Linked DNA regions of Arabidopsis thaliana. The protein of the gene in region 3 interacts with the protein of the main gene of each other region in a biochemical or structural test. Each region holds a gene or a part of one and is shown on either strand. Other genes may lie near its edges. The genes, in order: CSI1, MAP65-2 and TUA5.

Region 1 (10,955 bases), on a different chromosome or scaffold from region 3:
CTTTAACAAAAAAACAAAGCTATTTATAATTAGTTACGCTAACAATTTAATTTTTAAACGTGATGAAATATTTGTCTAACTCACGAATAAATACATTATCATAAGCGACTAAACATGCATTCTTGTTTTAAAAAACAAAAAGTAAACCAACTTGTACCTTAATAATATTTATATTTTTGGTGTGTACCTTAATAATATTGATTAATACCCTTTAATATTAATGTCCTTTTAAAAAATTGATTATTGTCGCTACCGTGTTATTACTTTTTATTTGCGTCCGAATGATTCATTATATTACACAAACATGGAATACAAAATAGAATGCGGTTTTGAAACATTAAACTGATTAGAGTCGAAACTCTTTCGAAAACTAAGCCGGCGAAAGATAAAAATATCTCCAGAAAACTACACCAAATAAGGAAAGGAAACTAGAAACAAATATCTCTTGTCTTCTTAATTTTCTTTGTTTTTTTTAAAAAAATATTATAAATGTTTAAATGCATAATATTTTTTTTCTTGTGCTCTTAACGTAAGAAAATAATAATAAATGTTGTTATCACTGTATAAATATAACCAACAAAAAAAAGGTAAAACAAAATGTTGATGAAATTCATGTGTCAGACTGATGCCCTTTTTAACACGTAGAACGTGGGTGTTAAATGTCGTTAATTATCATGGAAGCATCAAATGTTATACTTATACACAAGAAGAAACTGAAGAACAAAAAATAAAGAGAAAAAGAAACTAAAGAACTATCTTAAAATGATACATATGTTTTTCAATTGCTTGCGAGTTTCAAGGTTAGTAGGATTGTTTTTCTGGTATTCGAATTTTTTAGGATGTAAAAGTTTACATATACACTAGCTAAAACGCTGATATTAGGGCTGGGCACAAGTACTCGTTACTCGTCCTATACTCGCTACTTGGCTCGTACTCGCTTTGAAAAAACAAGTACTCGTTATTAATAAGGCAAGTAACAAGTAGTATAATTTAGATACTTGCAAGTACAAGTTAAGTAACAAGTAATGAAAAAAAATTAATACTCGACTCGTTTGACTTGTTACTCGTTATTATTTTACTATTTTATATACATATATTGTATTGTTTTAGCGTTACACATTTAAAAACTACATTAGAAATAAAGTAAATTTTAAACATGTAAAAAATATGATAAATAAAGTAATAAGTAATTTTAAGTAATTCGAAAGTGTTACTTGCAAGTAACTCTCAAATACTTGCAAATAACTTGTAAGCAACTCGCAAGTAGCAAATAATAATTCGTAAATATTTGTAAATAACTCGCAATGAGCAAATAATAACTCACAAGTATGTATAAATAACTCGCAAGTAGCAAGTAACATGACAAGGCAATCATATTTTAGCAAGTACTTGTAATTACAAGTACTCGTTTTTAACAAGCCAAATACAAATAGTTATTTTGATTATTCGTACAAGGCAAGTCGAGTAACAAGTATCCCTAAATTAGCAAGTACTCGCCTTGCGCCCACCCCTAGCTGATATTGTCCATAAAAATATCAGTGCAATAGTTTTTTAACTATTTTAAATTCGGCGAAATGGGTCAAAGTCAGACAATGAATCGATTAAAGTTAAGGAAAATAAAAAAATTCAAGGGATAAAGAGAATGAGCATGGAGAAGCATAATGATGAGAATGGAATCATATCCAACGGCCATAAAGCATAAGTCCTTTCTCTATAAATTACGACAACTTCTCTTCATCATTATAACCAAACTCATCCTTCACTTCATTATTCCTTTAACCACACATTCTCTTTGTTCATTATAATAATCAAATTAACTAACATATAATCGAACTATAATCACAAAATGTCTTCGATGGGAGCAAACTATGCACAACTTCAAGTCATGCAGAAGAAGCAGAAGGAGAAGATGATGAAAAAGAAGTTGGAGAAGAGAAGAGATGGCGGTGTTGACGGTGAAGAAGGAGGTGGCGTTTCTTCCGCCGGTAATAGAGTATTTCCGGTCAAGTCTTCTCCGTTGTCGACTTAAGAAAAAGTAGAAAGACAAGAGTGAATTATGAAGTGTGAGATATTTTCTTCTATTTTCAGTTGACTTTATGTGTCTCTATGTCACTATGTGTGATGTGATGCGATGTGATATACAAGTGGTCGTCTTTTGTATCAAGTTACGTAATTTGTGTTCTTTTTTTTTTTTTTTCAATGTCGATTGTATTAAAAAAAACTTTGTATATTTTCGTAGATTTCAATCAACATGTAAGATATATCTCTATTGACAATCTATTTTGAAGTTTTTAATTTTTGAATTTCGCCAAAACGTTTACCAAATTTGTGAGACTTGCATAAAACACGAGTGGTCTATTCAGCCTATAAATTAGTTGAATGCTACAAGCCTACAAGCTTAAAATAAATCGAAAATTTTATATATTAATTAAAACTTATAATTTGTTTAGTTCTGTTTTCTTTCTCAGTGACTGTTGATTTTATATATAATTGTGTCTGACCTAAATTGTATTGCGTATGATTGAAACTTGTATGATTTGTAGAAAAGAGAGAGAGGAGGAGTGTCTATATGTTTTTATTTCTTTTTGTCTTGGATCCATTACCATATCTATAGGTCTCAGATTCTATGTTTACAACCTAAACTGTTTTCATTATCTATGAAATATTTACAATTTAGCAAAAAAAACAATGACAATCTACTCATCAAGAGGACTAGATGATGACTTTCAAATCTTTTTTTTTTGGTTTTTTTTTTTTTTGGCAAAGATGACTTTCAAATCTTTGCAAACAAAATCAAAATGTAAAAAATGAGAGAGAGAAACCAAAAATAATAATGAGAAAATAGTCTATTAAGAAAAGATGTACGTAAGAATTAAGTTAAAATGTAACACTAAAATAAAAGAAAAAATCAAATGTATGATAAGACCCTCATCAAACCATTATATTGAAGTAAATTATATATGTATGAAAATGAAATATCAAAGAGTTCTTTTACTCTCACTTATGACACGCTAAATTAAAACCACTAAAAACCATAATATTAATTTCACGGCTACAAGTTGATGCTTCCTCAAACTTACTACGTTCCAATGCCGGGCACTGATTAAATATGGACTTCACATCTTTTTTTTTTTTTTTAGATATTCATTTCCAAACGGTCTATTGACAGATGGGCTAAGAATTTCACGGGTTACAAAAAAGTGGTCCAAATCGGAACATAATAGAAACAAGATCAGTAAAACGACGGTTCACCGGCCGGAGACGCAGCCTTCACCTTCTATATCCGATGCAAATTTAACATATTTCGAACGAATCTATGAGATCTATATGAGAATTTTGCTTCTTGGGTTTTATACGGTTCGGGAAAGTGGATGTATCAAGTTGTGACAAGAAGCATCAAAGAATATGACTTTGTCCAGTCATTTTTATGGTATAGTGATGATCGTCAATGATCATAATTGGCTAGGAAGAAAGAGCACATGTGCATTCATATGATTATCATAATTGTGCATATCATATGCTTTTATGGGCATAGTTGTCGATAGAAACAAAACATGCGTCGAGGAAAAAACAAAAGAATAGTTAAAACTTAGAATCTTTGATTCTCATGAGCCATGAGGCCATGTGCTTTTTCTCTCCCACGTTATATGTTTTACCATCCTTATAATTTGCTCCCCCGACTTCTCTCACTTTCAGACGAAAAGAACTGCTGTCGCGATTTTTGAACAATTATGGAAAATAATTTAGATGTGAAGGAAGCCGTAAAAATAGTTATTATACTTTTTGTCCATATATATAGAATTCGTGATGATTATGTTGTGGATGACAATTGGTGGTAGATAGAAACCTTTACTATCGCCATTGTTATGGGCTAATTAATCAAGTTTGGTAACAAATCAACATAATAGGACCAATAACAACAACTACTGCAGATCTTACTATTATTCTTTTTATTAATTCATCAGTATATTTTATTATTTTTTCTTGATTGTTTATCCGATTGATCTTGTAAGAGATAACTTTTGATTATTACATAACTTACTTCAACATGTTAAATGACACAATAAAATAGACAATTTATTTTTGATATCCTTTTGAAAAATATTAAATAAATATTTGTAATGACTGTGTTGCACTAAAAAATCGAGATAACCCCATGAGTGATAATTTGGTAACATAATCTAAACTTAGAGACAATTAACTAATTAAGTTATTATCTGAGAAATAAATTAGACAATATTTTTATTCGTGTGTGTAATTTTTGTGGTATAATATTTTTTCTTATATTGTTTCAATTCTACGGATGTTTTGGATAAAAAGGTTAATCAAATTTATAAAATGTAAAATTTTGCTTGAACAAATGAACCAAAATGTTTACTAATTGGCTAATTGCTGGAAAAAAACAGTTATATAATTTTTGTTAACAAAAAAAATGTTTGATGTAAATAATTAATTCACAGCTAAAAGTCAATTTCCTCATTTATTTTTGATTAAAGAAAGTAATAAAAAACAATTAAGTATACCATTCGCTGTACAAGAGTCGTTTAGTTCTGTCGGCTCGACAACCGACTCAAGCCGGCTCGAGTCGCTAAGTGAATCCACTCGCTGTCTGTCGGTGGACAAAGCCGGCTCCAATCTGATCACTCTCTCTCACCAGCACACACACAGCTCTCTCTCTTCCCTCTCTCTCTCCCCCGCTTTATACTTTGTTGAGTCAAAATCACAGACGAAGAAGAAGAAGAAACCTCTCTCTCACTCCTCTCTCCTTTCTCTCGTCTTATTCGCTTCTCTTCTACGTAACAGATTGTTCATCTTCTTCTCCTTGTTGCATTGAGGTGAGTTCAATTTGATCTATCAATGTCTAAATGCATGCTTTTTGAATTATCGGATCTCTTGTGTTTGATTTCATTGATAGAGATCCAATTATGATCTAGATCTGAAGAATCCTGTTTTTTGAGTTCCTATTGGTTAAAAAGTTTCCTCATTTAGCTTTAGTTCGAATCTGGAATGTTAAACGATTCGGATCGAGATTTAGCAGTAGTAGAATTCAGTTAGGTAGAGTGATATTTTTATACTATTAGTCTTCAATTATAATATAATTGCATTGAGCTTTTCCTACTTCACTGTATCGTTTTCTATTGTAAAGATTGATCCTTTTTATATATTATGCAGGGGGTGTTGTTGATGTTCTGACGATCTGATTTGAGTAGATCTGGGTAGGGGGCAAGGTCTCTGGGTCTACTTTTGATTTGAGAATTTTTTAAGTGAAGTGAAGATATGACAAGTGCTCTTGGATGGAGATTTCCTTCCACTAATGGAAATGGCCTTGCCCCAAGTGACACGGTAATAATTACTTGATTCAGTATTAACATTCATCACACGGGTTTATGGAAAAGCTTGTTTAGTTGATATACTGCAATCTTTCTGAGTTGCAAAGTCAGATCTGGTGTATTAGCAGGATGATTAAGCTGATATGTCCCTTGCATTTTGAATCTGATTTGAAAAAAGTACTTGAGCTAAGTCCATTGTTAATTAATGGCTTTGTACCAGTCAGTTATATCTGATAGAGTGTCATGATAAAGGTTATAGTTTTTCCATTGCATAGGAGCGAAAAGGTCTTGTTGCTCTTTTAACTTATTTTCTGTTGTTTGGTCTTGATTGCAGGAGAGAAATGGGGATATGAAGATGCATGATTCAGAGCCCCCAACTCCACATTCAACCACAAAGATGAGTTTGAGGTAACGCATATATGTATTTGGTACTGCATGGGAGCTAATCATCGTGATAAAATTGAGGTTTTATCTGTATTTGTTGCACCACCATCTTGGTTTAACAATGCCTGTGGAAATTAATATTATCTGGATTGGTTTCCTATGTTATCCTTTCAAATGAGACATTTTAAGCAGAAAGGCACACCTATTAGCGAATTAGTATCTAACTTTCCCCATCCCCTGCAGAGACCGGACAACCAGCATGGAAGATCCAGATGGGACATTAGCAAGTGTTGCCCAATGCATTGAGCAGCTGCGCCAAGGTTCATCATCTGCACAAGAAAGAGAATATTGTCTGAAGCAGTTACTGGACCTTATAGAAATGCGTGAGAATGCATTCAGTGCTGTCGGATCACACTCCCAAGCTGTGCCAGTACTTGTCTCTCTTCTCCGATCGGGATCAGTTGGAGTGAAGATACAAGCTGCAACCGTCTTGGGTTCACTCTGCAAGGAGAACGAACTTAGAGTTAAGGTGTTACTTGGGGGATGCATTCCTCCATTGCTTGGTCTTCTCAAGTCCAGTTCAGTCGAAGGGCAGATCGCTGCAGCAAAGACAATCTATGCTGTTTCTGAAGGTGGGGTTAAAGACCATGTTGGATCAAAAATATTTTCCACTGAGGGAGTTGTACCGGTTCTGTGGGACCAATTGCGCAGTGGAAATAAAAAAGGAGAGGTTGATGGTTTGTTAACTGGTGCACTTAAGAACCTTTCTAGTACCACAGAGGGATTTTGGTCTGAGACAATTCGAGCTGGGGGAGTGGATGTACTTGTGAAGCTGCTCACAAGCGGGCAGTCAAGTACACTATCTAATGTCTGCTTCCTTCTTGCGTGTATGATGATGGAAGACGCCTCTGTTTGTTCCAGTGTATTGACTGCAGACATTACAAAACAGCTTCTCAAATTATTAGGATCGGGTAATGAAGCCCCAGTGAGGGCAGAGGCTGCTGCTGCTCTCAAGTCGCTTTCTGCTCAATCTAAGGAAGCAAAGCGGGAAATCGCTAATTCTAATGGTATTCCTGTTTTAATAAATGCAACAATAGCTCCATCTAAAGAATTCATGCAAGGTGAATATGCGCAAGCATTACAAGAAAATGCAATGTGTGCCCTTGCTAATATTTCCGGTGGTTTGTCATATGTCATATCAAGCCTTGGTCAGAGCCTTGAATCTTGCTCTTCGCCTGCTCAGACTGCCGACACCCTTGGGGCTTTAGCTTCAGCATTGATGATATATGATGGCAAGGCAGAAACTACAAGAGCATCAGATCCATTGGTCGTTGAACAGACTCTGCTGAAGCAGTTTAAGCCTCGTCTACCATTCTTGGTGCAAGAACGTACAATTGAAGCACTTGCAAGTTTGTATGGGAATTCCATACTCTCTGTCAAACTTTCCAACTCGGATGCAAAACGTTTGCTTGTTGGTCTAATAACGATGGCGGTGAATGAGGTTCAAGATGAGCTTGTAAAGGCTCTTCTGATGCTGTGTAACCATGAAGGTAGCCTGTGGCAAGCACTACAGGGCCGTGAAGGGATCCAATTGCTAATATCTCTTTTGGGTCTTTCATCCGAACAGCAGCAAGAATGTGCTGTTGCACTTCTTTGCCTTTTGTCTAACGAAAATGATGAAAGCAAGTGGGCCATCACTGCTGCTGGAGGTATACCTCCACTTGTTCAAATTCTAGAGACTGGGTCGGCCAAAGCCAGGGAAGACTCTGCAACTATCCTTAGGAACTTGTGCAATCATAGCGAAGATATACGTGCTTGTGTTGAAAGTGCGGATGCTGTCCCTGCTCTCTTATGGCTACTAAAGAATGGTAGTCCAAATGGTAAAGAAATTGCCGCCAAGACATTGAATCATTTGATTCATAAATCAGATACTGCAACTATCAGTCAGCTTACTGCTTTGCTGACCAGTGATCTACCTGAGTCTAAAATTTACGTTTTGGATGCATTGAAGAGTATGCTTTCTGTGGTCCCATTCAATGACATGCTACGTGAAGGCAGTGCTTCCAATGATGCTATTGAGACAATGATCAAGTTGATGAGCTCTGGTAAAGAAGAAACTCAAGCAAATTCAGCATCAGCTCTTGCAGCTATCTTCCAGAGCAGAAAGGATTTGCGTGAGAGTGCTCTAGCCCTCAAAACTCTCTTGTCGGCCATAAAACTGTTAAATGTGGATTCGGAGAGGATCCTTGTTGAGTCTTGCCGCTGCCTGGCTGCAATTTTACTTTCAATTAAGGAGAATCGCGATGTGGCCATTTCTGCCAGAGAAGCATTGCCTACCATAGTATCTCTAGCCAACTCTTCTGTTCTAGAAGTTGCTGAGCAAGGAATGTGCGCTTTGGCTAATCTTATATTGGACAGTGAAGTGTCAGAGAAGGTCATTGTCGAAGATATCATCTTGTCCGCCACTAGAATCTTACGTGAAGGTACAGTGTCTGGGAAGACACTTGCTGCTGCGGCAATTGCCCGCCTCCTTAGTCGTCGCCGAATTGATTCTGCATTGACAGATTCTGTGAACCGAGCTGGAACAGTGCTTACCTTAGTGTCTCTTCTAGAATCTGCCGATGGAAGATCTGATGCAATATCAGAGGCCCTAGATGCGCTTGCTATATTCTCAAGGTCAGGAGCTAATGGAAATGTAAAACCAGCTTGGGCTGTTTTGGCTGAATCTCCCAACAGTATGGCCCCAATAGTCTCATCTATAGTGAGTGTTGCTAATCCTTCACTACAGGACAAAGCTATTGAAGTTTTGTCAAGACTTTGCCGAGATCAGCCTATTGTTTTGGGAAACATGGTCAACAATGCCAGAGATTGCGTGTCATCTATAGCTAAAAGGGTGATAAATACCAGGGACCCGAAAATAAAAATTGGTGGAGCTGCTATTATTATCTGTGCTGCCAAAGTTGACGACCAGAAGATGATAGAAAATCTGAATGAGACACAATTGTGTGCCAAATTCGTTCAAGCACTTGTGGGGATCCTAGATTCTGTGCAAGATCAGGAAAAGGATGAGAAAGATAAAATCTGCATATGCATTCATCCCAAAGAAAAGGAAGAAGATGAAGAAGAAGAGGCAACAGAAAATAGGGAGGGTTCCACGGGGGCAACAGTTATTTCTGGAGACAATTTAGCCATCTGGTTGCTCTCGGTTCTTTCTTGTCATGATGAAAAGAGCAGAGCAGTAATATTGGAGTCAGAAGGCATTGAGTTGATTACTGACAGAATAGGCAACCGTTTTCTCCAGGTATTCAACTCTCTTATAGATTAAAATCTTTGAGATCACAACTTATCAAAGTTTCAGAAGTATGGATAAAAAAAAACATATTATGAATCTGTGATAGCGTTTAACATTCTAACTCATTTTGGAATGCTAGGTTGTCGTTTATGTTGCTTTAATACCTTTTTTACATTTCAGGCTGATAATGGAGAAGATGCCAACATTTGGGTTTGTGCTTTATTGCTGGCCATACTTTTCCAAGACAGAGAAATCACTCGCGCACATGCAACAATGAAGGCTGTTCCAGTGCTCTCAAATCTTGTGAAGTCAGAGGAATACGCAGACAGATATTTTGCAGCACAAGCTCTAGCTAGTCTTGTCTGTAACGGTAGTCGCGGAACTCTTCTATCTGTTGCAAACTCCGGTGCTGCGGCTGGGTTTATATCATTGCTTGGTTGTTCTGATGATGACATAAAAGAACTTCTGCAGCTGTCGCAGGAGTTCACTTTAGTGCGGTACCCAGACCAGGTTGCCCTTGAAAGGCTTTTCCGAGTTGAAGATATTAGAGTTGGGGCTACTTCTCGAAAGGCGATTCCCTTACTAGTTGAACTTCTTAAACCAATTCCAGACCGCCCCGGTGCTCCTCTACTTTCACTTAATCTTCTAACTCAGCTTGCTGGGGACTGTCCACAAAATATGATTGTCATGGTAGAGTCAGGTGCTCTTGAGGGTCTCTCGAAATATCTTTCCCTTGGACCTCAGGACGAGCAAGAGGAAGCTGCAACAGGTCTTTTAGGCATCTTATTTAGCAGTGCTGAAATTCGAAGGCATGAGTCAGCATTTGGCGCGGTCAGCCAACTTGTAGCTGTTTTGCGTCTAGGTGGAAGGGGGGCAAGGTACAGTGCCGCCAAGGCATTGGATAGTCTCTTTACTGCTGACCATATAAGAAATGCAGAGTCTTCTAGACAAGCTGTTCAGCCATTGGTAGAGATTCTCAACACTGGTTCAGAGAGGGAGCAGCATGCTGCTATTGCTGCACTTGTTAGGTTGTTGAGTGATAATCCATCACGGGCTCTGGCAGTTGCAGATGTGGAGATGAATGCGGTGGATGTTCTCTGCAGGATCCTTTCTTCAAACTATACGATGGAACTGAAGGGAGATGCTGCAGAGCTGTGTTATGTTCTGTTTGCAAATACAAGGATTAGATCTACAGTTGCTGCAGCGCGTTGTGTTGAGCCACTTGTCTCTCTTCTTGTGACTGAGTTCAGCCCTGCTCAGCATTCAGTTGTGCGTGCACTGGACAAGCTTGTCGACGATGAACAACTGGCTGAACTAGTTGCAGCTCATGGCGCTGTGGTACCTCTTGTTGGCCTTCTCTATGGTAAAAACTATGTGCTTCATGAGGCTATATCCAGGGCTCTAGTAAAGTTGGGTAAGGACAGGCCTGCTTGTAAACTGGAAATGGTGAAAGCTGGAGTTATCGACTGCGTACTTGATATTCTCCACGAAGCTCCAGATTTTCTATGTGCTGCGTTTTCAGAACTGCTTCGAATCCTCACAAATAATGCTACTATTGCCAAGGGACAATCTGCTGCGAAAGTGGTGGAGCCACTTTTCCATTTGCTGACGAGGTTGGAGTTTGGAGCTGATGGACAGCACAGTGCTCTGCAAGTTCTGGTAAATATCTTAGAACATCCACAATGCCGCGCTGATTATACACTTACACCGCACCAAGTAATTGAGCCTTTAATTCCGCTACTGGAATCTCCATCCCCAGCAGTCCAGCAGTTGGCAGCTGAGCTTCTATCTCATCTTCTCTACGAGGAGCATCTGCAGAAAGATCCATTAACGCAACTTGCGATTGGTCCTCTAATCCATGTGCTGGGATCCGGCATACACCTATTACAGCAGAGAGCTGTGAAAGCTCTCGTCAGCATTGCTCTAACATGGCCAAATGAAATAGCTAA
Region 2 (11,958 bases), on a different chromosome or scaffold from region 3:
TCTTCTCTCTTCCTCTGTCTTACACTTGACATGACTCTAGAGACACGTTTTCTTCCATGTTTCATCACTCTTTCTATTCTTGTCTGCTAAATTCAGTAATTCGGGCCTCTATGGGCTTTTATATAGGCCCAACCTCGAGTACTAACACCACCCGCTACATGAGTGCGTGTCCCACACTCGCTCTTTACGTGAAGACTGAAGAGGAACTCCATTGCCTATGTATGTATGAATGTACACGAAGTTGCAAGGAAAATTTTATGATAATAAGAATAATTCACACAAATTTTCTTTGTAAACGAAGTCTGAGCCTGAAAAGTTAATAAACAAACCCACAAATGTTGAGAACACACACACGCACTAACATCAACCCCAAGTGTCATAGATTAGATATAAAATTCAGTGACCGGCACCGGCCGATGGATTTGTTAGCAACTCAAGTGACTTCTTGAGATGTTCTACAGCAGTCGAGACTTCATCAAAAGCCAAAGCTCCCACAGCGAATCTAGCAGCCTTGAGTGCCTCTGCAACCTTCTCAGGCCCTGGCTGGTAGCTGCTATCGTAATGGTACTTCTGAGCTGAACTCGGTGCAGGATCTAGCACGGGAGCAATATTGATACGCCCGTTTGATGAGTAAGGTGGAGGAGGAGGAGCAGAGGAGAAGCTTGTGGAAGAAGGAGCAGGTGCAGAGTGCGGAGAAGAATAGTAAGGTTCTGGGTTTTGGTAGTGAGAAGGGTAGTGGGGAGAAGTGGATGGGAGGCTGCTCTCACTAAAGCTAGGATAAGATTGGAAATTAGGGAGAGAATTTGGAGAAGGCTCATGAGATGAGTAGTTTTGCGGTGGCGGCATGTGTTTTGGCGGGTCTTGGTGGTATGGTTGATGACTGTAAGGATGCGGGTAAGGGGAGTCTGATGGTCCTGTGGGAGGGGGAAGATGATCGTTGGAAGGGTAAGAAGACGGTGGTGGAGGTGGGACATCTGCGGGATAATCGTTGGTCGGATTGTCATAAAACCTGGGAGGTAGAGGGTGTTGTGGCACTTCAGGGAATTGATGGTGGCTGGAGTCATCATTCGAGTCATGGGGTGGATCAAGCTCTGTTCTATGATGACTTGTTGTGTTGGTATCACTTGCACTGTGATCCTGTAGATAATTAACATGCACAAACAATGAATCGATTAAGTTGATGCAGACGTTTTATCATAGTGTTTTGACAATTGAGAAAACAAAAACCTAAAAGTACACAGGTGGGTGTGAATGTGTGTGTCTCTAGCTAGATGATTTTGATCAGCGCTATGCGAATTCTATAAACATTTACGCTCCTAAACACTTTTCGATATTATTGGACAGAATACACGCTAAGCCAATATCAAGATATTTCCAATCCATAAATATTCAAGAAGAGAAACTTACATAGGAGCCACTAGGACCGCTTGATGGGATGGATAAATCAGTATCATCATCCACAGGATCACCTGGAGTGGGCTTCCTTCCTTCTTTAATGGCTTTCCTTATGTCAGCAGCCTTCCAAGCAGCATACTTGTGTTTCTGCTCTATCTGTTAATGGGAGCCATTACATATATACACATATCAATCTCCCAACACAGCTGCCTCTTAAGGTGATGTTAAGTGAATAAAAAAAGAAGTAGGAACTTACATCAGGAGGTACGGGACCAAACTGGCTCAGAATTTCAAAGAAGATGCTCGCAGCATAAAAAGTTTTGGCAGTGCCCCTGTCACAAGCACAACAAAGTTAATTTGGATAATCCATCGCAACTCGGAAGCCTATGTAATTGAGTCAAATGAATGCAGGTGTTAGCACTTATAAAATAAGGATACAGACAGTAATCGAACTAATATCAGTATCCAACCATGCATAGAAACACATCAATGCTGGAGATACAGGTATTTCGCAAAAGCAGAACAGGTAGAAGACAACAGGTCGAGATAAGCCTTGGATGCATCCAACTAATTACTTAACCCGCTATCTTAAACGATGGTAGAGGAAGGTATCACCTAAAAACATGTCTGCCGGACATGCATACTCATTGTAAATGTATGTGTACTTGCACGCTATTTCCAGTATTGGCAAACACAATAATACTAGACAGACAATGAATCTATAGAATCATGCTAATTCGACTCATTGAGCTAGTGTTGACGGTGACCCTAAAATTATTAGAAACTTGAGGGCAAAAAAAATGCCATTCTATATATAATCAAACATAAGAGCAAAAAAAATTCTTACAAGTCTGCTCTTCCTGCACGATCCTGCTTGTCTGCCTTAGCAAAGACACTAAGTGCAAACCCCTCCACATGCATATTGTCATCTGGGGACAGAGTCAATGATTTTTTATCCTGGAGTTACACAAAAAAGAAATCGCCATAAGAAACTGGAACTAATCAAGAAATTGCCTCATGAACTCTGTCAATCACATGAACAAACCTAAGCTAAATTTAGATATAAGCCTCCTTACCAAACACAAACATAAATAAAAAAACTCCAGCTTTGTAACAAGTAACAACATATAATAATCAAAGTCAAACACATCATGAGAATTACTAAGAACCGGTCCTTTCAAATCTAAACAAGTAAAAAATCAAACAAGCTGAAATAAATCAGAAAAACTCACAATTTAAAACTTCAAAGGTAATACCTTTTCGAGTTGATTAATGAGAGACATGAGAATCGAATTGGTGGTCTTAGTTCTCTCGCTCTGCGGAATCTTCAATCCTCGTTCCATTGCATATAGCCGACCTAATCAATCACAAAATTCCATGAATACACACAATCGCAGGAGGCGATCATCTAGGTTAGATATAGATAAGAAAACGAAACTCACAGTAATAAGCAACAAGTGGTTCATGCTTCTGCAGCTCATCGGCACGTTGCAGGTAAGGCAGAAGAGCCCTGGCTGGTTCGTTTGGGTTCGACATAGATTCTCTCTTCTCTCGAGCTCCGTAGCTTTTTCTCCGATTGATTTGTTAAGACAAAACAGCTCAAGAAATTTTCCTGTATTTAACGCGCTTCTGATTGCAAACTAGAAACGACGTCGCAGAAAGGACCTCTAAAATCCCAAACCTTCTTGGAAACTTTTTAAACTTTTAAATCATGCCCAAAAGATCTTTCAGTATATTACAATTTTGCCCAAATATTATTTCGTAATTCCAATTAGAACCTTGACTTTCATTCACTAAACCGGTCACTTCACATTAGTCATGCTAACAAGTACCAAACAAATTTGAGTGAATGAATACAGAAACAGAAACATCTAAGTAACATTCTACTCTCATTGTCTTTGTTTCTAAGTGTTTGTTTCTTAAACAGCACTATTAGCAACTAACAAAAGTGTAAGTAAGCATTATAACTCTCTTTCTTTTGATATTGTCACGGTGAAGCCATCACTGGGTCAGCACGAGAGACTGGAGATGCAGCATCATCTTTTGTGTTGGCTACAATGTTCGAAGGTGAAGCTATCTTGTTCAGACTGTCTCTCTTGGACTTGCTTCCGTTCTGGTTTGAGTTCATAGACAAACGCCTCATAGGAGTTTCGTTGAGCCCTCCTCCATTGACTCGTGTTCCCACCGGTTTCTTGGCACTAACGGGTCTTGCAGGGCTTGGTTTAGACCCAAAGGCGGATTCTTGATCTGTGTGTGGCTGTTCTTGCTGCTTCTTCTGTTCCTGTTAATGAAAAGGCAAGATTATTTTAAAAGAAGTTAGTTTCAACAATCGGTTTAACACAGGATGAAACAACTTACTTTCAGCCTCCGCTTCTCATCTTCTCGTTCTTGCCTAAGCATAGTGTATTCATCTAGCATGGCGAGTAAAGGAACTCCATCGTACTCAAAGGACATACTGTTCTCCTCTTCCCATGCCCGGGTTTTAGCAATCAACGTGTCAACCATAGCTTGCACAAACAAAGTATGATATATTCTTCAGTCTCAGTTTAATTCTATGTGTAGTAATAACTAAGAGAGACTTTTGGAAGTTCTTACCAGTAATCTTGCTGACCAGAATCCGAGCTTTCTCAGCTCTCTTGAGATTCAAATGCGCACCTCGGCTTGCACTATACCTGTTCTGATCCTGTTTTTCCAGAACAAAAACCCAAAAGAATCATCAATTGAACTCTATGCTTAATAAGTAATGTGTTTATTAACATAGCCAATGTTAGCATACTCGATTGTAATCTTCGAGCCAGCTCTCTTCCTCACAAGCTGACATCCATTTCTCTACACGGTCTAAAATTTCTTTTCTACTAAAGGCTTCCTCCTTGGCCTTTGCGATCTGGCTATCCATGTCAGCCAGTAACTCAGTAGGTTCAGTATTCCCAGCATCAATCAACGACATGATCCTCTCACGAACAACCTCTGGTTTTATTTCTATGTGAGCACGAGCATATATCTCCTCAAGCTCTGATTGCTTTTTGAATGCAATTTCCTTCATTCTGCTAGATTTCAGTTGATCAAGCCTATCCACTTCCACCTCAGCCTTCAAGAGTTCACAGAAGATTTTTAAAAGCAGTACTTATCATACACATTGATTGATACATTACAAATTTACGATACCTGTTCGATAAGATCAAGTGCGAGAGCACCAGAGGCAGTCACTTCATGAACTGAAGCTGAAATGTTAGAGGTAACATGGTCAAAAAGCTCCCTTTCCTCATCAGAAGTATCCATCAGATTCCATAGATCAGTTAGCTGAGTAGCTAGTTCTTGAAGCTGCATAAAACCAAGATACATTAATGAAATCCACAAACAAGAATGGTGCAGAGAAAAGTTACAAACTTTCAGCGCAATTAATCAGAAAGGATTTCAACATATGTGCAGCCTAAACTGACCAAGCTCATGTCAGAGATCACAAAGACCATGATTTTGACTAACCTTCTTAAGTCTTTGCATTTTATCTTCTTTAAGAGTCAAGACAGTCTTAGCCAACCTTGCAAGTGTTTCATTGCTAATGCTCTTGGTTTGAACACCATTTGCCTCATCTAAGCTCGGATGAACTTCGGTGACAGTGCTTAAGAAATCTAAACGAAGGACGGCACATAGATCATGCACCGTGCTCACAAACTCGAGCACCTTCTGTAACCTATCACTCTGCTCAAACACAAAGCAGTTTTAGTTCTGGTTTGAACATAGGCCACACATAACCATATCCCAACTAATATTTTACCTTCTCTTTCTGGAGCTCTTGGAGTTTCCTCTGGAAGTCATCTAATCTCTTTAGAGACAAGTCAGTCTCATCAACCACATGAGGTCCATTGTTCAATCCGCCAGCGATCTCCTCACATATCTTCTGAATCTGTGATTGTACATCAGAAAATGCCCGGACCCTTTCCTCTTTCTGTTGCCAAAGTTGTTCAAGCGCAGGTGCTATTGCAGAAAGTTGTTCTTTGATCGTTCCTGAAGTCTTATCAGGCTGCAATGGAAACAAAGACATTGAATCACACTACACTGTAACCATCTCATCTCTTTACCACTTGTAAGACGTGAGATTACTTACAATGTCGATATAGCTTTTTTCCCCGAGAGCAGTTGTGAGATTGGAAAGTTCAACAGTGGCATCTGACAAAGTCTGAAGAAGCTCTGCACGAGATTTTGCGGCTAGCTCAACTTTCTTTTTGTAAACATTCAGACACTCTTCCTCAATCTGTAGAAGCAGTTTGTCTCGTTCTTCATCACTCTCCCCAACCTCATCCCAGATTTCCTGTAACAAGTTTGTACATTGAGTTTGTGGAACCATATATTAAAAGGATAAGTGTGTATGTTGCGAAATCTACCTGCAACTTCTGTAGTAAGGTGCCACAAGTGATTTCACCAAGAAGAGGATTTTCTGCTTCTGTCACTGCCATTCTTGTGAAGTCAAAAGGTTTCCTACAAAAGTAGAAACAACGAACATATTTAGTGAAGATCCAAACTAACTATACACTAAAAGAAACCAAAGTTGCAATCTTTTTTAGAAAACCAAATTGAATCAGAAACAACATTTTGAACTTGGGAACAAAAACACATCAAAGAACTTAGTGAAGCTAAGAATGTGAAACTAAGCTCAAGAAAAGCTCGAAAGGAACTTCAAAGAAATCAAACAGCATTGGTGATAAAACCAAAGCCAAAGCAAGAAATCAACATTGAAGAAGTAAAGAGGCAATGAGCTGAAATGAAACTAATCGAATCCAACAAGTAGAAGATGGCTTTCTTACCTTAATCGATATTGAATCCAAATGGTTTATCTTCCTCTCTTTTAGATCTGAAGCGACGAATAGTCACTGTGAGAGTAAGAGAGAGAGAGAGCATAGGAAACAGAGAAATCTCCAACTTTGGTTATGGAGGTTGGGAAATGGGAAAAGTGGGACCCATTTTACGGAACTCAATAATTAATGAGGAAAAAACAACAGCAAAAAGGTGAGAGACCCTGTCTTTTCGCGTTATTTACTGATTTGACCACTGATCTCACAGACCTCGTTGACTCCTCATGCTCATGTCTGAATAGTTAAAAGGCTTTCCTTAATGGGCTTAAATATCTGACCCAGCCCAAACAGATCAAGACAACACGTGTCACTCATTCCGGGTTTAAACATGAAGCAGCGACATGAATAGTTTATTGGTTCTCTCTTCCGATGATTTGATGAAACCTCACCGCTAAGTGCTCATCCACCACCTTCCTCCTCCTCCTTCTTCCCTCACCTTTTGAGTTTCTTTCTTCACGTTTCTTTTCATTAATTAGGGTTTCGCATTTTCAATCACCATCATCCCACCACGTTTTCGTTAATGTAAGTTCATTCTCTTTTTTCTACTTGTCATGATCCCATTTTGTTGCAATGTTCACTTATGAAATTTATCCTTTGTATGTGAATCATCACGTTTTGCTTTGATGAATCATTTAGATTTCTAGGCTTACACATTCAAATCTAAATCCTCTATTATATGCTTGTTACACAAGTAATCTCTCATCAGATATCAATGTGTGTGTTTCATTAAGACGTGTATAAGCTCGAGTTATGGTTGACATTTTGAAATTATAGATCAACCCCAAATTCATTTCCTCGGATGTATAAAGAAACCCAGATCATCATGATTAACTGAATTTCAAGAACTCAATCCAGGAACTGAGAGCATTTCCTAGGGATCTCAATGGCAATGGAGAAAGATCTCAGTCCAAATTCTCCACGGATTAGAAAGCTAAGGGATACTAGTTACCCTACTACACCAACGTCTCGAATGAATACTAATAACCAGAGAGATAACCATTATCCCAACATTCCTAATTCACCAAGGGATTACAATTATACTCCTAGCTCTCCAACAGCTCGCATTCGACACCGCAGGCGATCAAGCGAGGTATCTATACAATGTCATACTCTCTTTTCCGGTTGAATCCAAAATTTGATTGTCTTTTTCAATATTGATCAGAATTTAGCTGAGGTGAACAGAAGCAATGTAAGCAGAGTAAGCAATTTGTTACTTGGTGATAAGAACAAGTACAGATCAATGTGGATAAGGACATGCTCATCTCTCTGGATGCTCGGTGGAGTTGTGTTTATAATCTACATGGGTCATCTCTACATTTGGGCTATGGTTGTGGTTATACAGATATTCATGGCCAAAGAGCTCTTCTTTCTTCGCAGAAGAGCTCATGAAGAACGTCGCTTACCCGGTTTCTGGCTCTTGAATTGGCACTTCTTCTTCACGGCTATGTTGTTTGTCTATGGACGCATCATTCAACAGCAGCTAGTCAACACGGTTTCTTCAGATAGATTCATATACAAGCTTGTGAGTGGTCTTATCAAGTACCAGATGGTTATTTGCTACTTCTTGTACATCGCAGGTTTGTCTGTTTCTTTTTTCTTCACAAAAACAATACTCTCTTTCTTGATTTATTAACAGCTTAAGTTGGATTCAGGTCTCATATGGTTTATCCTTACATTGAAGAATAAGATGTATAAGTATCAGTTTGGGCAATACGCTTGGACACATATGATCCTTATCGTTGTCTTTACTCAATCTTCTTTCACCGTCGCCAATATTTTTGAAGGGATCTTCTGGTACAATGGACTCTTATATATATCCACTGAAGCATAATAGTTTTCCCGAGTGCTAATTTCTTTTAAATATGCAGGTTTCTTCTACCAGCAGCACTGATTGCTATGAACGATGTAGCAGCTTACTTCTTCGGTTTCTATTTCGGGAAAACTCCGCTCATCAAGTTGTCTCCAAAGAAAACATGGGAAGGTTTCATCGGAGCATCAGTTGCAACTATAATCTCTGCATTTATTGTAATAACCTTCTTCTATCATTTATTCATTCGTTCGTAACTCTTTCTTTTGGTCTCAAGACTGATAGATTATTATCTGCTTCGTACAACAGTTTGCTAATGTCTTAGGCCAGTTCCAATGGCTTACATGTCCAAGGAAGGTAACAAAAAGTGATATCTCCATCACAATATTTTGTCTCGGCCTTTACTTCATCCTTGTGTTGCATATCTTTTGCAGGATTTATCAACTGGTTGGCTTCATTGTGATCCAGGCCCTCTCTTCAGGCCAGAGTATTACCCATTTCCCTCTTGGATTACTCCATTTGTAAGCAATTAACTGTCCTCTCGTGAAAACCAGCCGATGATGTTGTCTTGTTTTGAAACTGAGCTCCGTTGTGAACTTTGCTTAACAGTCTCCATGGAAAGGGATCTCGACCCTGCCTGTCCAATGGCATGCTTTTTCTCTCGGTCTATTCGCATCCATTATGGCGCCTTTTGGTGGCTTCTTCGCAAGCGGTTTCAAAAGAGCTTTCAAGATCAAGGTTAACACATTTTTCAAACATTAAAAGGTTTTGTATCTACAGATCCAAGAACAAATATTTACTAGTTTATGTCGCTTTGACAGGATTTCGGAGACAGCATACCAGGACATGGAGGATTTACTGACAGAATGGATTGCCAAGTAAGAGTCACTAACGTCGAAAAGTGCAATATGATCTTTGCATCGTTTTAAACGAATCTTGTTGCCTAAATGCAGATGGTTATGGCGGTTTTCGCATACATCTACATCCAATCTTTCATTGTTAATCGGGACTACAGTGTCGAGATGATCCTAGACCAGGTAAGAATCATCATATAAGCCAAGAATACGGAGGCATTGTAAATAATTGATTGTATTATACCTGCAGATATCGAGGAGCCTGGGACACGAGGAGCAGAAAATGCTTTATGAAAAGCTCGGAGACATTCTTCAACATAAGTTGCAAGGGAGGTTTTAAATAGTGAGTGCAAGTTTTGTGACTCTGTTTTCAGCTTCTTTCTCTATGGTTAGTTTCTGGTTGTATCAGACCATGTAAAACCTTGATTTGTATCTGATTTAACTAATCAAACAGAGACTTGGTAATAGTGTGCGAGTAGAAGAGATGTAAAATGATATTTTCCTCGTTCAATTATAGCATGGAGATAGAGAAAACAGACACAGAAGCAGGATTTCCCCTGCAAATGCCATGTCCAGCAACTTATGGGAGATCTTGTTCATCTAATGAATAACCAAACCACAAAAGAAAACTATGACTCGAAGACTCGAGAAGATGTTAATGGAAACATAGAACCGTAACAAAATTTATGAAAACCAGCTGACTTCTTCTTAAGCATCAGACTCTTTCTTTTCTTCTTGGTTCTCTCCTCCCTGGGTAACACCAACCTCAGCTGGTCTTATAACTCGGTCATACAGCGTGTATCCAGACTGCACATATTGACACCCATCATTACTAATTGGTATTTAAGACTATACAATATGAAATAAAGAGACAAAGAATTGAGCAAGCTTTATATATTTACCTTCAAGACATGAGCAACTGTGCCTTCTGGCTTAGAAGCATCAGGGACTTGGAACACTGCGTTATGTCTGTTTGGATCAAATGGCTCGTTTATAGGATCATACTTCTCCATACCAAATTTCTTAAATACCTGCAGCGGCACACATGTTTAACCGGTCTCATCTGCATTGCTTACTTAAGGTCTTATAATTACATTTCTCGATATTTACCTCAGCAAGCTGTTTCTCAGTCATCTCCACTCCTTCTAAAAGGGTCTTTAATAGTGGAGCTGCTCCAGCAGAATCTTCTGAGGTGTCAAGCTTTGAGAAGCTTTCTTTGACAACCGAAGAAGCTCTTCCAAGATTATCCGCCACATCCAATAGGCTCTTTGCAAAATTCTGCATACATATATAGTGAATATATATATTTCAGAAAACTATTATATGAAACAAAAGCTGCAAACCAAGTTCTTAAAGACTAACCTGTACGGCATACTTTTTGGTGTTTTCAGCATCACGTCTTGTTCTGTCCATGACATTCTCCATCTCAGCATAAGTGCGAAGAACTTTGTCTTTCAACTGCTTAATCTCTTCTTCCTTCTCAGACAGTAGCTCTTCCTTCTCAGCTACGAGCTTCACCAAATCATCGGCTGACAATTCATCATCATCACTCTCAGAATCTGATTCAGAAGATGAAGATGCAGCTCCTTTAGCACCTTTCCGCTTTCTTTTTGCAGAATCTGTCACAGAATCTTTAGATTCAGAGTCAAGACCTGGTTGGTTTGCCTCAGCTGTAGGTTTCTCTTCACTTGTCTTTGAGGCCTCAGTGTGGGTCTTCTTCTCATCTGATTCAGGCGAGGTAGAGGAAGAAAAATTGAACCTTTGCAGTGCAAACGAATCCATCATAGACATCTGAGCTGGAACAAGCTGCCCCCAAAAAAAAAAGTAAAATGGGTTAAACTCAGTGAAATGATACAGAGCAAAAACCTATAGAGAATCTAAACCATTCTTCTATTGTTTATTCATATATCTGAAGATTCAAACATAAGAGATCAAGGAAACAGTATCAGAAGATAGCAATCATTTCTAGAAACTCAAATGAGGGAAAGCCTTAAACCCTAACAAAACCCTGAATTGCAATTTCGGCATGAATAGTGATTAATTTGAGTGAAAATCGAACCTTATGCGAGAAATCGTGAGCTAGGGAGTGAAACCGGCTCGAGAAAACAGGAGTCTGATTCCTCGCCGGAAGAGTGACGGCGGATAGAGATGAGCGTATGCCCGCGTTGCGGGTTACTCGCGACAAAATTCTCAAAACCAACATCTGGAGATCCACCACAGATGAACAAACAGAGATCAAGAAGATAAGAGAATCGAATCGAATCGAAATGTAATTGTTCTGAGGAAATTGTTAATTTGCAGAGGCACACAGAGTGCTTGGTGGATGGATAGTAGAATTCACAATTCTCTCTTTCGGGGTTTTTAGTAATTTACGTAAATAGCCTTACCGCTGCACGAGCGGGCTGAGGCTAAAATGATCGCTTTGATTCGGCGAGCCTGTGAGGGTATTATTGTCATTATAGCAAATGGGAGATTTTGAAAGCTAATTTGAGAAGCCTCTAGAAAGAACCAAAGGTACTTGTATATCTTTGGGACAGACGAAGTCCATTTATCTCCTGGGCCTGATTGGTACAGTCCTACCAAACAGAACAAGCAGCAGTATGTTACTGTTGCTAAGTGGTTTGGCTTTTTTAGTTTCATTCTTGTGTTTAATTAAAATTGCTGGATTAATATAGAGGTTGTGTAGATTTGACGTCATTTGGATGGGAGAATTTGGAAATTAATGTTCAACTACTTAATCTATAATTCAACAAACGATAAATGACCACTTAATTGCTAATAGCCTCTAGTTAATTCAAAACGCAAACCTATGTTATGAACCACTTGTCAATAAATTTATAAATCTTTAGTTGAGACTCAAAAAACAAAGTTACTTTATCGGAAATGTCACATTTGACGCATGAGAGACACTTTCTTGCCGTTACTTGTTATTGTCGTTGCAACAACCAAAACTATGGTTGAACTAAAAAGCCCCAAAACGTGCGACACAGTTCACCCAAAGTGCAAATAATCTTTACATTCAAGACTCTAGACTCAGTAAGCAATAAAAACA
Region 3 (10,457 bases):
CCAGCAAGCCTAAGCATTTTAATAAAATGTTTTTAAGTTTGTGCTTGGAAGAATTGGTGCGCAGGCCAAGAGATGGTAACTACAAAATATTTGGACCCACTCATTACATTTCTCATTTATATCATATGTCTTTGTTCTCACTCACTACAAAAAGGTCGCTTCAGGTTTCTGTCTCAAAGATATAGGCCCATGACTTGGTTACAGTTTAAAAGTTAAATCCATGTTAAAAGCAATTCTAAGCGTCTCTCAAGTTTTGTTTGGGTAGCTTCAATCACCCCTGTCTTCAAACTGGATAAACTAAACGACAATTTCACTCTGAATTGCCCTTGATCTTGCTAAGTTTTCAATATCGATACCTTTATTCCTTAACCAAACCAGTACTCACTATTCACTAACACACCATACACGAGAGAGACTAGCACATCACTAGGTCAGCTCTCAATACACCATACGGGAGAGACTATCACATCACTAGCTCTTCTCTTAAGTCTGTCATGAGAGACTCATACTCATATCAGATTCAACAACAATCAACATAAACCTCTCTCAAAATTCAGAGCCAGTATTTATACTAGAACAGAGTTTTCTAAAGATATTTTTAGATCCTAAAAATATCTTATTCTTCAAGTAAGCTTCCTTCTCACGTGCCTCCTCACTTGCACGTGTGTTCTTTTGCTTTGTCTCTCATTCTTATTCTTCTTGATACACCAATCGTATCAGATCTGCCAACCTCATTAAGAATGACTCCGGTGATCGTATGCTTGACTTGAGCTGGCCTCTCACCAATGGTAAGGCCTAATTGCCCAAGACACCTAGGTCATCAAAAACCTTTCGCTTATGAGGTTGTGATAAATGTTGGATTGTTGAAGGACTTTGATAAATAAGAAACAGAGAGACTTGTCGACGAGAGAGACAGAAACAGAGTTATGAAATTAAAACTGAAGTTTCTTATTATTGAAAATCTGACCCGACCAAACAAAGACAACGTGTTCTTATAATATTCAACAGACCCGACCAAACAACACTAAGAACAAGATTTGTAACTCTCCCCTTTTAACTCTTAACATAACTACCCTTAGGACAAGACCCAACTCCTAATGTATAAACTTAACAAACATACACATAATTAAATAAAACAAGCGACCAAACTCAATTAACCTCTAACAAAAAATATGACCCCTTTTGAAAGAAAACTTAGAGAGAGATATGTGTAATAGCTTCTCTTTAGTATCCCCGAAATTTCTAAATTCTCTCGAACACAAAGAATTTTCACAATGTAGACGCCCATATTTCCACTTTTGGCTAGGTATCGTATCAACGGATGAACCACCCTTTCCCGGTTAAAGACTCTGTGGCATCTGCTTCGAAAATGGTGTTCTCTCTTCGATATTTGATGGATGTAATGACTTTGTTCTAAATTAACCACTACTTGTATTTGTTAAAGGATAAATGCCATGTAACCTTAAACATTGTATAAATCTTACGTACTTAAGAGTTAGATCTATCCATGTAATCTAGATGATGGTTACATTCGATCTAGTTTTGTTTATAGAAAAACTGTTTTGATGCAAGTCAAAAGTGGGTGTATATATATGTAATGATCATCTTTTATAAAACCTGTAAAAGAAGTCTCCAATCAATAAACGAAAGATGGCCCATTTGATGTTTAGTCAGAAATTTTGAATATACAAACTGCAAAAGTAATCAATACAATAAAAAGAAGAAGGTTAAAAAAAAACAGAAGAAGCTTTAGTCATCGCTACATAACAATCCATCAGTGAGTAATATATGGCAGAAAATAAATGTCTTCTCCTGAGCCACTTGCATGCTTCTTAGAGGTTAAGGAACGACCACAATGATTTTCCGGGGGGAGGTGGTGGATACACTCTTCCATATTTAGAGGGTGGTGGCGGCGGTGAATATCTCTTGTAGGCAGCAGCATGCGATTGAGGAGGAGGAGGAGGAGGAGGAGGAGGAGGAGAAATTGGAGGTGAATAGACCGGTGGCGGAGGAGGAGAATATTTGTAAGATGTCAATAGCTTTCTGTTGTCGTTTCCATTAGCAACTGTGATTAAGATTGCCAATAGAAAAACTAGGGTCAAGGAAAACCTTTGCGACACCATTATTTCAGGTCAGTATTGTCTACTTATTGTTGTTAATATTCTCTTTTTCTTTGCTAAAGTTGTTGTTAATATTCTTAAGACATATATAGATTGATATTTTTCTTGTAAGCTCTAACTTAGAGGTTTCCCACTAACCTTGTAAGATCTTGTCAAGATCATTGTTTTTAAAGTATAAATTGGTCGGCTTAGCATTTAAAAAATCTCTTCTTCTCATTATTGAGGCCTCCCTCTAAACATTAAGCATACGTAAGTCTTAAAAAATATAGTTTGTTGGGTAAAATATTCGCAGTTCCAAGCTGAGAAATAAACACATCATATTTGTCTTCTGTACAAATCTTTTTAATACTAAGAAAATCAGAAAATGGTGCGCACTCAATTAATACATGGAACCCACATAAAACCTCTGAATGATTCTCAAGAGTACCCAAAAGCCCATAATTATAAAATTCATATCCGTAATCCGTATCATCACTAAAATAACAAGAACAAGTTTTCAGAAAGACGAGACAACCACTAAGATTTGACCCAAACATACGAGCACAAAATGGAAAAATTTATGTATCCCTATATATATGCCTATAACTATGTCTATGTACAGATTCATACAAAAAAAATATGGAACATCAAACAACTCCAAAGCAGAAAACTAAGGAGAAGAGCAAAGGCAACAAGACTAAGTTTGTGGGAGTTAGGCAAAGGCCTTCAGGAAAATGGGTGGCAGAGATCAAAGACACTACACAAAAGATACGGATGTGGCTCGGAACCTTTGAAACCGCAGAAGAAGCCGCTCGAGCCTACGATGAAGCTGCATGTCTCTTACGTGGCTCCAATACTCGCACCAATTTCGCAAACCATTTTCCTAACAACTCACAACTATCTTTGAAGATCAGAAATCTTCTTCACCAGAAGCAGAGCATGAAGCAGCAGCAACAACAACAACACAAACCAGTTTCTTCTTTAACGGATTGCAACATCAACTACATCTCGACTGCTACTAGTCTCACCACAACCACCACCACCACCACTACCACGGCCATACCGCTCAATAATGTGTACCGACCAGATTCATCGGTCATTGGGCAACCAGAAACCGAGGGTCTCCAGCTTCCTTATTCGTGGCCCCTTGTCTCTGGATTCAACCATCAGATTCCATTGGCTCAGGCAGGGGGAGAAACACATGGACATCTCAACGATCACTACTCAACCGATCAACATTTGGGTCTTGCAGAAATTGAAAGACAGATATCTGCGTCCCTATATGCAATGAATGGAGCTAACAGTTACTATGACAACATGAATGCAGAATATGCAATTTTCGATCCTACCGATCCCATTTGGGATCTCCCTTCACTCTCCCAACTCTTCTGCCCTACGTGATTTCCAATTTACTTTTCCTGATCAATTCATGTAATGTTTGGATCAATGATCCATGATTGTAAAGTAGAACACATCTCTACAATGTTCCAATAGACAAGATTGTACCTAAAGAAAATGGACAATGTAAGAAGATAATGAAGGTTTCGTACAACAAAAGCTTGATAATGAACTCGGGATCTTCCCCAATGGTCGCTCTACCAATGAAAATGTATCTAACCGAGATGAAACACGAAGGAGGATCGAATATTGTACAGGATTAAAACAAACATGTAATCAACAAGAATCATTAATGAAAACAGATAAACGAAAAAACTTTTTGGTAGCACATTGCTTGAGAAAAGGTGTCAATAGTCTTCACCTTCATCTTCTTCATCGTCTCCACCTTCAGCACCAACTTCTTCGTAGTCTTTCTCCAGTGCGGCCAAGTCTTCACGTGCCTCAGAGAATTCACCTTCCTCCATTCCTTCACCAACGTACCAGTGCACGAATGCCCTCTTCGCATACATGAGATCAAACTTGTGGTCGATCCGTGAGAACACCTCTGCAACTGCTGTGTTGTTACTGATCATGCATACAGCTCTCTGAACCTTAGCGAGGTCACCACCTGGAACAACTGTTGGAGGTTGGTAGTTGATTCCACATTTGAACCCAGTTGGGCACCTGCAAAACAAAACCCATGCCAAAGGAGTTACTATATAATAACAACATAAAGGTAGAAAAATTAGCAGCTATATCCATTTCTAGATCATACCAGTCAACAAACTGAACAGTCCTCTTTGTCTTGATGGTGCCAACGGCAGCATTAACATCTTTGGGAACAACATCTCCTCGGTACATCAAACAACATGCCATGTACTTTCCGTGCCTTGGGTCACACTTTGCCATCATGCTCGCTGGCTCAAACACGGCATTGGTGATCTCAGGGACTGATAGCTGCTCGTGGTAAGCCTTGGCGGCTGAGATGACTGGTGCATAAGATGACAGCATGAAATGGATACGGGGATATGGGACAAGATTGGTCTGGAACTCAGTGATATCCACGTTGATGGCACCATCAAACCTCAAAGATGTTGTCAAGGATGAAATGATCTGTGATATCAACCTGTTCAAGTTTGTGTAGGTTGGCCTCTCGATATCTAGGGATCTGCGGCAAATGTCATAGATGGCTTCGTTATCCAAGAGGACAGCTACATCGGTATGTTCAAGAAGGGAATGCGTTGAAAGCACACTGTTGTAAGGCTCTACAACAGCAGTAGAAACCTGACATCACAGAGGAATATGCATTAAAACCAAGTTTCATCCAAATTAGACCACTATAGAAACATGTCATGTAAGAGGTTCTACTTCAGTGTCTAGCAAAAGAAAGAGTACCTGAGGAGAAGGGTATATGGTAAAACCAAGCTTAGACTTCTTTCCGTAATCTACAGACAAACGCTCTAGCAACAGAGAACCCAATCCAGAACCAGTTCCACCACCAACAGCATTGAACACCAAAAACCCTTGTAAGCCAGTACAGTTGTCGGCAAGCTTCCTCACACGGTCAAGACATAGATCCACAATTTCCTTTCCAACTGCAATTACAAGAAGCATTCTAAGGACCATTTCAAAAACCCTAACAAGTTAGAACAAGCAGAAAGTGGATTCTCACCAGTGTAATGTCCTCTAGCGAAGTTGTTAGCAGCATCTTCTTTCCCAGAAATGAGCTGCTCTGGATGGAAAAGTTGACGGTAAGTACCAGTACGAACTTCGTCGATAACGGTAGGCTCGAGATCAACGAAGACAGCCCTAGGAACATGCTTCCCAGCTCCAGTCTCGCTAAAGAAAGTATTGAACGCATCGTGTGCAACACCAACTGTAGTATCACTGCAACAGAGCAAAACATTCGTCTCTCAAAAACCTTCAGATCCACAGAAACAGAGTATAAAAGAGAGAATTAGGGTTTATACCTCGGCATCATTCCGTCGGGCTGGATTCCATGTTCGAGACAGTAAAGCTCCCAGCAGGAATTTCCGACTTGGATCCCGGCTTGTCCGATATGAATGCTAATAATTTCCCTCATCTTCTCTCAGCAGAAACCCTAATTCGAGCGATGCTCTGCGACAGACGGAGAAGGAGGAAGACGGAGATCGAGGAAATGAAGGCGGTGAGAGTGAGATCTTCTTTTTTTGGTTCAACTTCGTTGGCAAATTAGGTTTATATTTTGTGAAGGGAAAATGATTAATTTATTGAATTGGATTTGATAATTTGTTGGGGTCCGCCATTTTGTGACAGCCTGCCTTGGGTCCCACGGCTTCGCTTTTGTTCGAAAATGAGTTCATTTTACAATATTGCCCACACGATCCAGTTCATTCTACAGTTTCTCAATTTTGGCTGGCATAAATATCTTCGGCGGATACATGTTACTTATTGTTATGGACCGGATTGGTTTACGTCAATTTAGGATATAGGATCGAATCGTGGATTGGTTTATCGATCCGGTTCAATGTTTTTTTCATTATTGTTTGTTCAAACAGATTCTACAATTTTTTTTTTTTTGAACACGTTTTAACAGATTCAGTTGTGTTGATCTACATAATGACAAAAGTCACATAAAACTATTGGTCATGATCATACTATAGTTGTTTTTATATCATCAATTTTATTTAGTGATATGCTTTATGAATTAATAATTATGGATGGACATTTAAAACACCAAAAAAAAACATAATGGACAACTCTTTGGTATTTAATGGTTTTTAATCAAAAAATTGATTAGGTGGAAACAAAAAAAAAGTGGGTGCACAAATGAAAATATACAGGGTCATTCGATTATATATACTAGTAAAAATAATATGAACCTCTCAATAATATATGTATAAGATTATGTGAAGTTATTGGGTCGGCAGTCGGCACCTAACGGGAGTGAGATCAAATGGATGTAATCATGTAAACTTATGTGCAGAAAAGAAAATAATGTAAACCTATGAATGAGTAGATTATTAGTATTGTTTAGTGTTTCTTGGAGATGTAAGGGTTCTCACATCCACATTCTACTTCATCTTCCTCAAATCCTCTGCAATTGTTTTGTTCCCTTTCTTAAAACGATTTGGGAATGTTCTTAGGATATTGAATGTAAAGTAAAAAGATTTGTCCCTAGTCTGAAATCTATTCATTTTCATGATATTGTGTGAATGAGAACCACCACAATACATAACTGAAGTTTTAATAAATTACATGCAAAAAATTTAAATAACTATTTATGTAATAGTTATATATCTCTCTATTCATTATTTGTGTTCATAAACAAACCAAGTCATGTGGAAATATGAAATAATTGTCTTGATGACATATTTAATCAAACAATTCCTTAACCCAACCCATTTCCAATCATATCAACTAGCATTTTTGTAAACTCGCAAACTTTGTGACCGTTATGTACTCTCTTCGGATTCACGGTTTCACTCGACCGTTGTCTACTTTACTGTATACTCTCTTTGGGAATTTTTTAGTCTTAAGGTTAACTATCAATTGCTTTAGGATCATGCATTTTTTTGTCTTTTTGTTAGTTTGAATGGATGAAAATTCCCTTAAAACATTATATTTATAGGATTGAATTGCTACTTAAGCTATCTTCCTAACCGCATGCATGAATTCAATGGATTTGATAATCGTTTATCTTGAAATCTTGATCCATTATATCTAAACAATTGCTTAACCCACTTTGACATCTTTAATCTGAAACCGCTTAGGAAAAATATGCTATATAGAATTAATATAGCTGATTGTCTCAATTCATCTAACTTAACTTAGCAATTAGAGAATTAATCTAGCTGACTATCTCAATTCATCCAATACAATCTTAGAATGATCAATTTATATGAGTTTATCTTTCGTATCATTACAATCATTTTGGTTATCAAACCATCATTTTGGTCGTACCTTTATCCACTCATTGAAAAATATAAAAATATTTGGCTCCGATTAGTAATACGCGTAATTGCAAAATGACATTTTTTTAATACGAGTATATAAGAATGTTACCAATTAAGAAAATTAACATAATATTTATTAAAACGCAAAAATACAGAATTTTTGTTTTCTTCATAGAAAATAAAAATAAAAATTCATTATGTAAATACATATTATATGTATATTTAATTTTAGACACATATATTTGTTTGTTTTATTATGCAATTTTTCATTCTACAAATTTATAGTTTTGCAAATTTTTATTCTCCTACTTATGTCATTAAAAGGATTATACGGGGTTATCTCAGAACTTGTGATTTCAAATCTTGAAAACACGTTTTACGTAGTCAATATTTATGTAAGTTAATTAATAAATAAATGCACTAAGAGAATCAAAATCTTATAACAAAGACAACCTTACATGACGTTTCTTTTCTGTTTGGCGCTTACAAAAACATCCTACTATAACCAATAGTTATTTAAACCACTAAACCCTAATTTAACCTATAATATCGATTTAGGTCGGTTAAGCTATTATTTACCTCACTCATACTAACGAAATACCTAAATTCCGGTAAGTTATTTAAACCGGATAAAAATCGACACCTTCCAGATCTAGATCCAGATCGAATCTCACGTATTTTGTCTATGCCCAGTCCCAAAGGCAGGCTGTCACAACTTGGCGGACCCCAACCAATTATCAAATCTCATTCAATAAATAATCAATTTCCCACAAAAATCATGGAAATTAGGAAAAAAAGAAGATCTCGCTCACCGCTCTCATTTCCTCAATTCTCCGTCCGTCGAAGAAGCGAATCGCTCGAAATTAGGGTTTCTACTGAGAGAAGATGCGAGAAATCATAAGCATTCACATCGGACAAGCTGGGATCCAGGTCGGAAATTCGTGTTGGGAGCTTTACTGTCTCGAACATGGAATCCAGCCGGACGGAATGATGCCGAGGTATAAACCCTAATTCACTCTTTGTACTCTGTTTCTGTGGATCGGAAGATTTTTGAGATACGAGTCTTTTGCGTTGTTGCAGTGATACTACAGTTGGTGTTGCACACGATGCGTTCAATACTTTCTTTAGCGAGACTGGTGCTGGGAAGCATGTCCCTAGGGCTGTCTTCGTTGATCTCGAGCCTACCGTTATCGACGAAGTTCGTACTGGTACTTACCGTCAACTTTTCCATCCAGAGCAGCTCATTTCTGGGAAAGAAGATGCTGCTAACAACTTCGCTAGAGGACATTACACTGGTGAGAATCCACTTTCTGCTTGTTCTAACTTGTTAGGGTTTTTGAAATGGTCCTTAGAATGCTTCTTGTAATTGCAGTTGGGAAGGAAATTGTGGATCTATGTCTTGACCGTGTGAGGAAACTTGCCGACAACTGTACTGGCTTACAAGGGTTTTTGGTGTTCAATGCTGTTGGTGGTGGAACTGGTTCTGGATTGGGTTCTCTGTTGCTAGAGCGTTTGTCTGTAGATTATGGAAAGAAGTCTAAGCTTGGTTTTACCATATACCCTTCTCCTCAGGTACTCTTTCTTTTGCTAGACACTGAAGTAGAAACTCTTACATGACATGTTTCTATAGTGGTCTAATTTGGATGAAACTTGGTTTTAATGCATATTCCTCTGTGATGTCAGGTTTCTACTGCTGTTGTAGAACCTTACAACAGTGTTCTCTCAACGCATTCCCTTCTTGAACATACGGATGTAGCTGTCCTCTTGGATAACGAAGCCATCTATGACATTTGCCGCAGATCCCTAGATATCGAGAGGCCAACCTACACAAACTTGAACAGGTTGATATCACAGATCATTTCATCCTTGACAACATCTTTGAGGTTTGATGGTGCCATCAACGTGGATATCACTGAGTTCCAGACCAATCTTGTCCCATATCCCCGTATCCATTTCATGCTGTCATCTTATGCACCAGTCATCTCAGCCGCCAAGGCTTACCACGAGCAGCTATCAGTCCCTGAGATCACCAATGCCGTTTTTGAGCCAGCTAGCATGATGGCAAAGTGTGACCCGAGACACGGAAAGTACATGGCCTGTTGTTTGATGTACCGAGGAGATGTTGTTCCCAAAGATGTTAATGCTGCTGTTGGCACCATCAAGACAAAGAGGACTGTTCAGTTTGTTGACTGGTATGATCTAGAAATGGATAAAGCTGCTACTGTTTCTACCTTCATGTTGTTATTATATAATAACTCCTTTGGCATGGGTTTTGTTTTGCAGGTGCCCAACTGGGTTCAAATGTGGAATCAACTACCAACCTCCAACAGTTGTTCCAGGTGGTGACCTCGCTAAGGTTCAGAGAGCTGTATGTATGATCAGTAACAACACAGCAGTTGCAGAGGTGTTCTCACGGATCGACCACAAGTTTGATCTCATGTATGCGAAGAGGGCATTTGTCCACTGGTACGTTGGTGAAGGAATGGAGGAAGGTGAATTCTCTGAGGCACGTGAAGACTTGGCCGCACTGGAGAAAGATTACGAAGAAGTTGGTGCTGAAGGTGGAGACGATGAAGAAGATGAAGGTGAAGACTATTGACACCTTTTCTCAAAAAAACTGCAACCAAAAAAAGTTTTTTCGTTTATCTGTTTTCACTTTTGATTCTGTTGATTGTTTAAATCCTGTAAAATATTCGTTCGGTCTTCGTGTTTTATCTCGGTTGGATACATTTTCATTGGTAGAGCGACCATTGCGAGTTCCCGAGTTCATTATCAAGCTTTTGTTGTACCAAACTTTGATAATCTTCTTACAACTGTCCATTTTTCCTTGAAGTATAATCTCGTCTATCGGTGCGCTAACGTTTATCAACGTTCTGTATATGCTTTGTTGTCGTATCAGCTAATAATACATTTATGAGATTCAACTAATGTTAACAAACCACGTTGATCTTCACAAAAGGGCATCAGAATTATCAAATTGCATCAGAAATACTGCTCCACTGGTCCACTATCTAAAATACGGCGTGAAAAATGCCAAAAATTATTG

Evidence for each region.
Region 1: the proteins of TUA5 (region 3) and CSI1 form a complex in vitro, tested with the Arabidopsis thaliana proteins (one study listed by BioGRID).
Region 2: the proteins of TUA5 (region 3) and MAP65-2 form a complex in vitro, tested with the Arabidopsis thaliana proteins (one study listed by BioGRID).

What each region holds. Positions count from the first base shown.
Region 1 is NC_003071.7:9,401,516-9,412,470, forward strand, and holds the start of CSI1 (binding protein), read left to right. Parts: upstream 1-4,543; 5' UTR 4,544-4,835; intron 4,836-5,172; 5' UTR 5,173-5,277; coding exon 5,278-5,343; intron 5,344-5,664; coding exon 5,665-5,738; intron 5,739-5,957; coding exon 5,958-9,015; intron 9,016-9,186; coding exon 9,187-10,955. Other genes in the region: AT2G22122 (uncharacterized protein), read left to right, coding at 1,847-2,029.
Region 2 is NC_003075.7:13,475,452-13,487,409, forward strand, and holds MAP65-2 (microtubule-associated protein 65-2), read right to left. Parts: upstream 6,420-11,958; 5' UTR 6,198-6,419; intron 5,872-6,197; 5' UTR 5,850-5,871; coding exon 5,778-5,849; intron 5,705-5,777; coding exon 5,501-5,704; intron 5,417-5,500; coding exon 5,171-5,416; intron 5,095-5,170; coding exon 4,879-5,094; intron 4,717-4,878; coding exon 4,561-4,716; intron 4,484-4,560; coding exon 4,172-4,483; intron 4,079-4,171; coding exon 3,991-4,078; intron 3,903-3,990; coding exon 3,754-3,902; intron 3,677-3,753; coding exon 3,383-3,676; 3' UTR 3,141-3,382; downstream 1-3,140. Other genes in the region: EXT-like (hydroxyproline-rich glycoprotein family protein), read right to left, coding at 397-1,137, 1,408-1,551, 1,652-1,727, 2,243-2,352, 2,652-2,752, 2,838-2,931; AT4G26770 (Phosphatidate cytidylyltransferase family protein), read left to right, coding at 7,129-7,335, 7,408-7,822, 7,898-8,039, 8,114-8,270, 8,362-8,409, 8,487-8,573, 8,662-8,790, 8,874-8,930 and 2 more; AR192 (Co-chaperone GrpE family protein), read right to left, coding at 9,615-9,713, 9,809-9,937, 10,017-10,184, 10,269-10,712, 10,966-11,109. UniProt on the Arabidopsis thaliana protein: Microtubule-associated protein that stabilize microtubules (MT). Involved in the regulation of MT organization and dynamics. Confers MT resistance to the drug propyzamide and cold conditions.
Region 3 is NC_003076.8:6,682,314-6,692,770, reverse strand, and holds TUA5 (tubulin alpha-5), read right to left. Parts: upstream 5,742-10,457; 5' UTR 5,560-5,741; coding exon 5,447-5,559; intron 5,364-5,446; coding exon 5,149-5,363; intron 5,072-5,148; coding exon 4,872-5,071; intron 4,761-4,871; coding exon 4,252-4,760; intron 4,161-4,251; coding exon 3,845-4,160; 3' UTR 3,600-3,844; downstream 1-3,599. Other genes in the region: AT5G19800 (hydroxyproline-rich glycoprotein family protein), read right to left, coding at 1,833-2,123; RAP2.11 (uncharacterized protein), read left to right, coding at 2,739-3,500; TUA3 (tubulin alpha-3), read left to right, coding at 8,297-8,409, 8,492-8,706, 8,784-8,983, 9,095-9,603, 9,695-10,010. UniProt on the Arabidopsis thaliana protein: Tubulin is the major constituent of microtubules, a cylinder consisting of laterally associated linear protofilaments composed of alpha- and beta-tubulin heterodimers.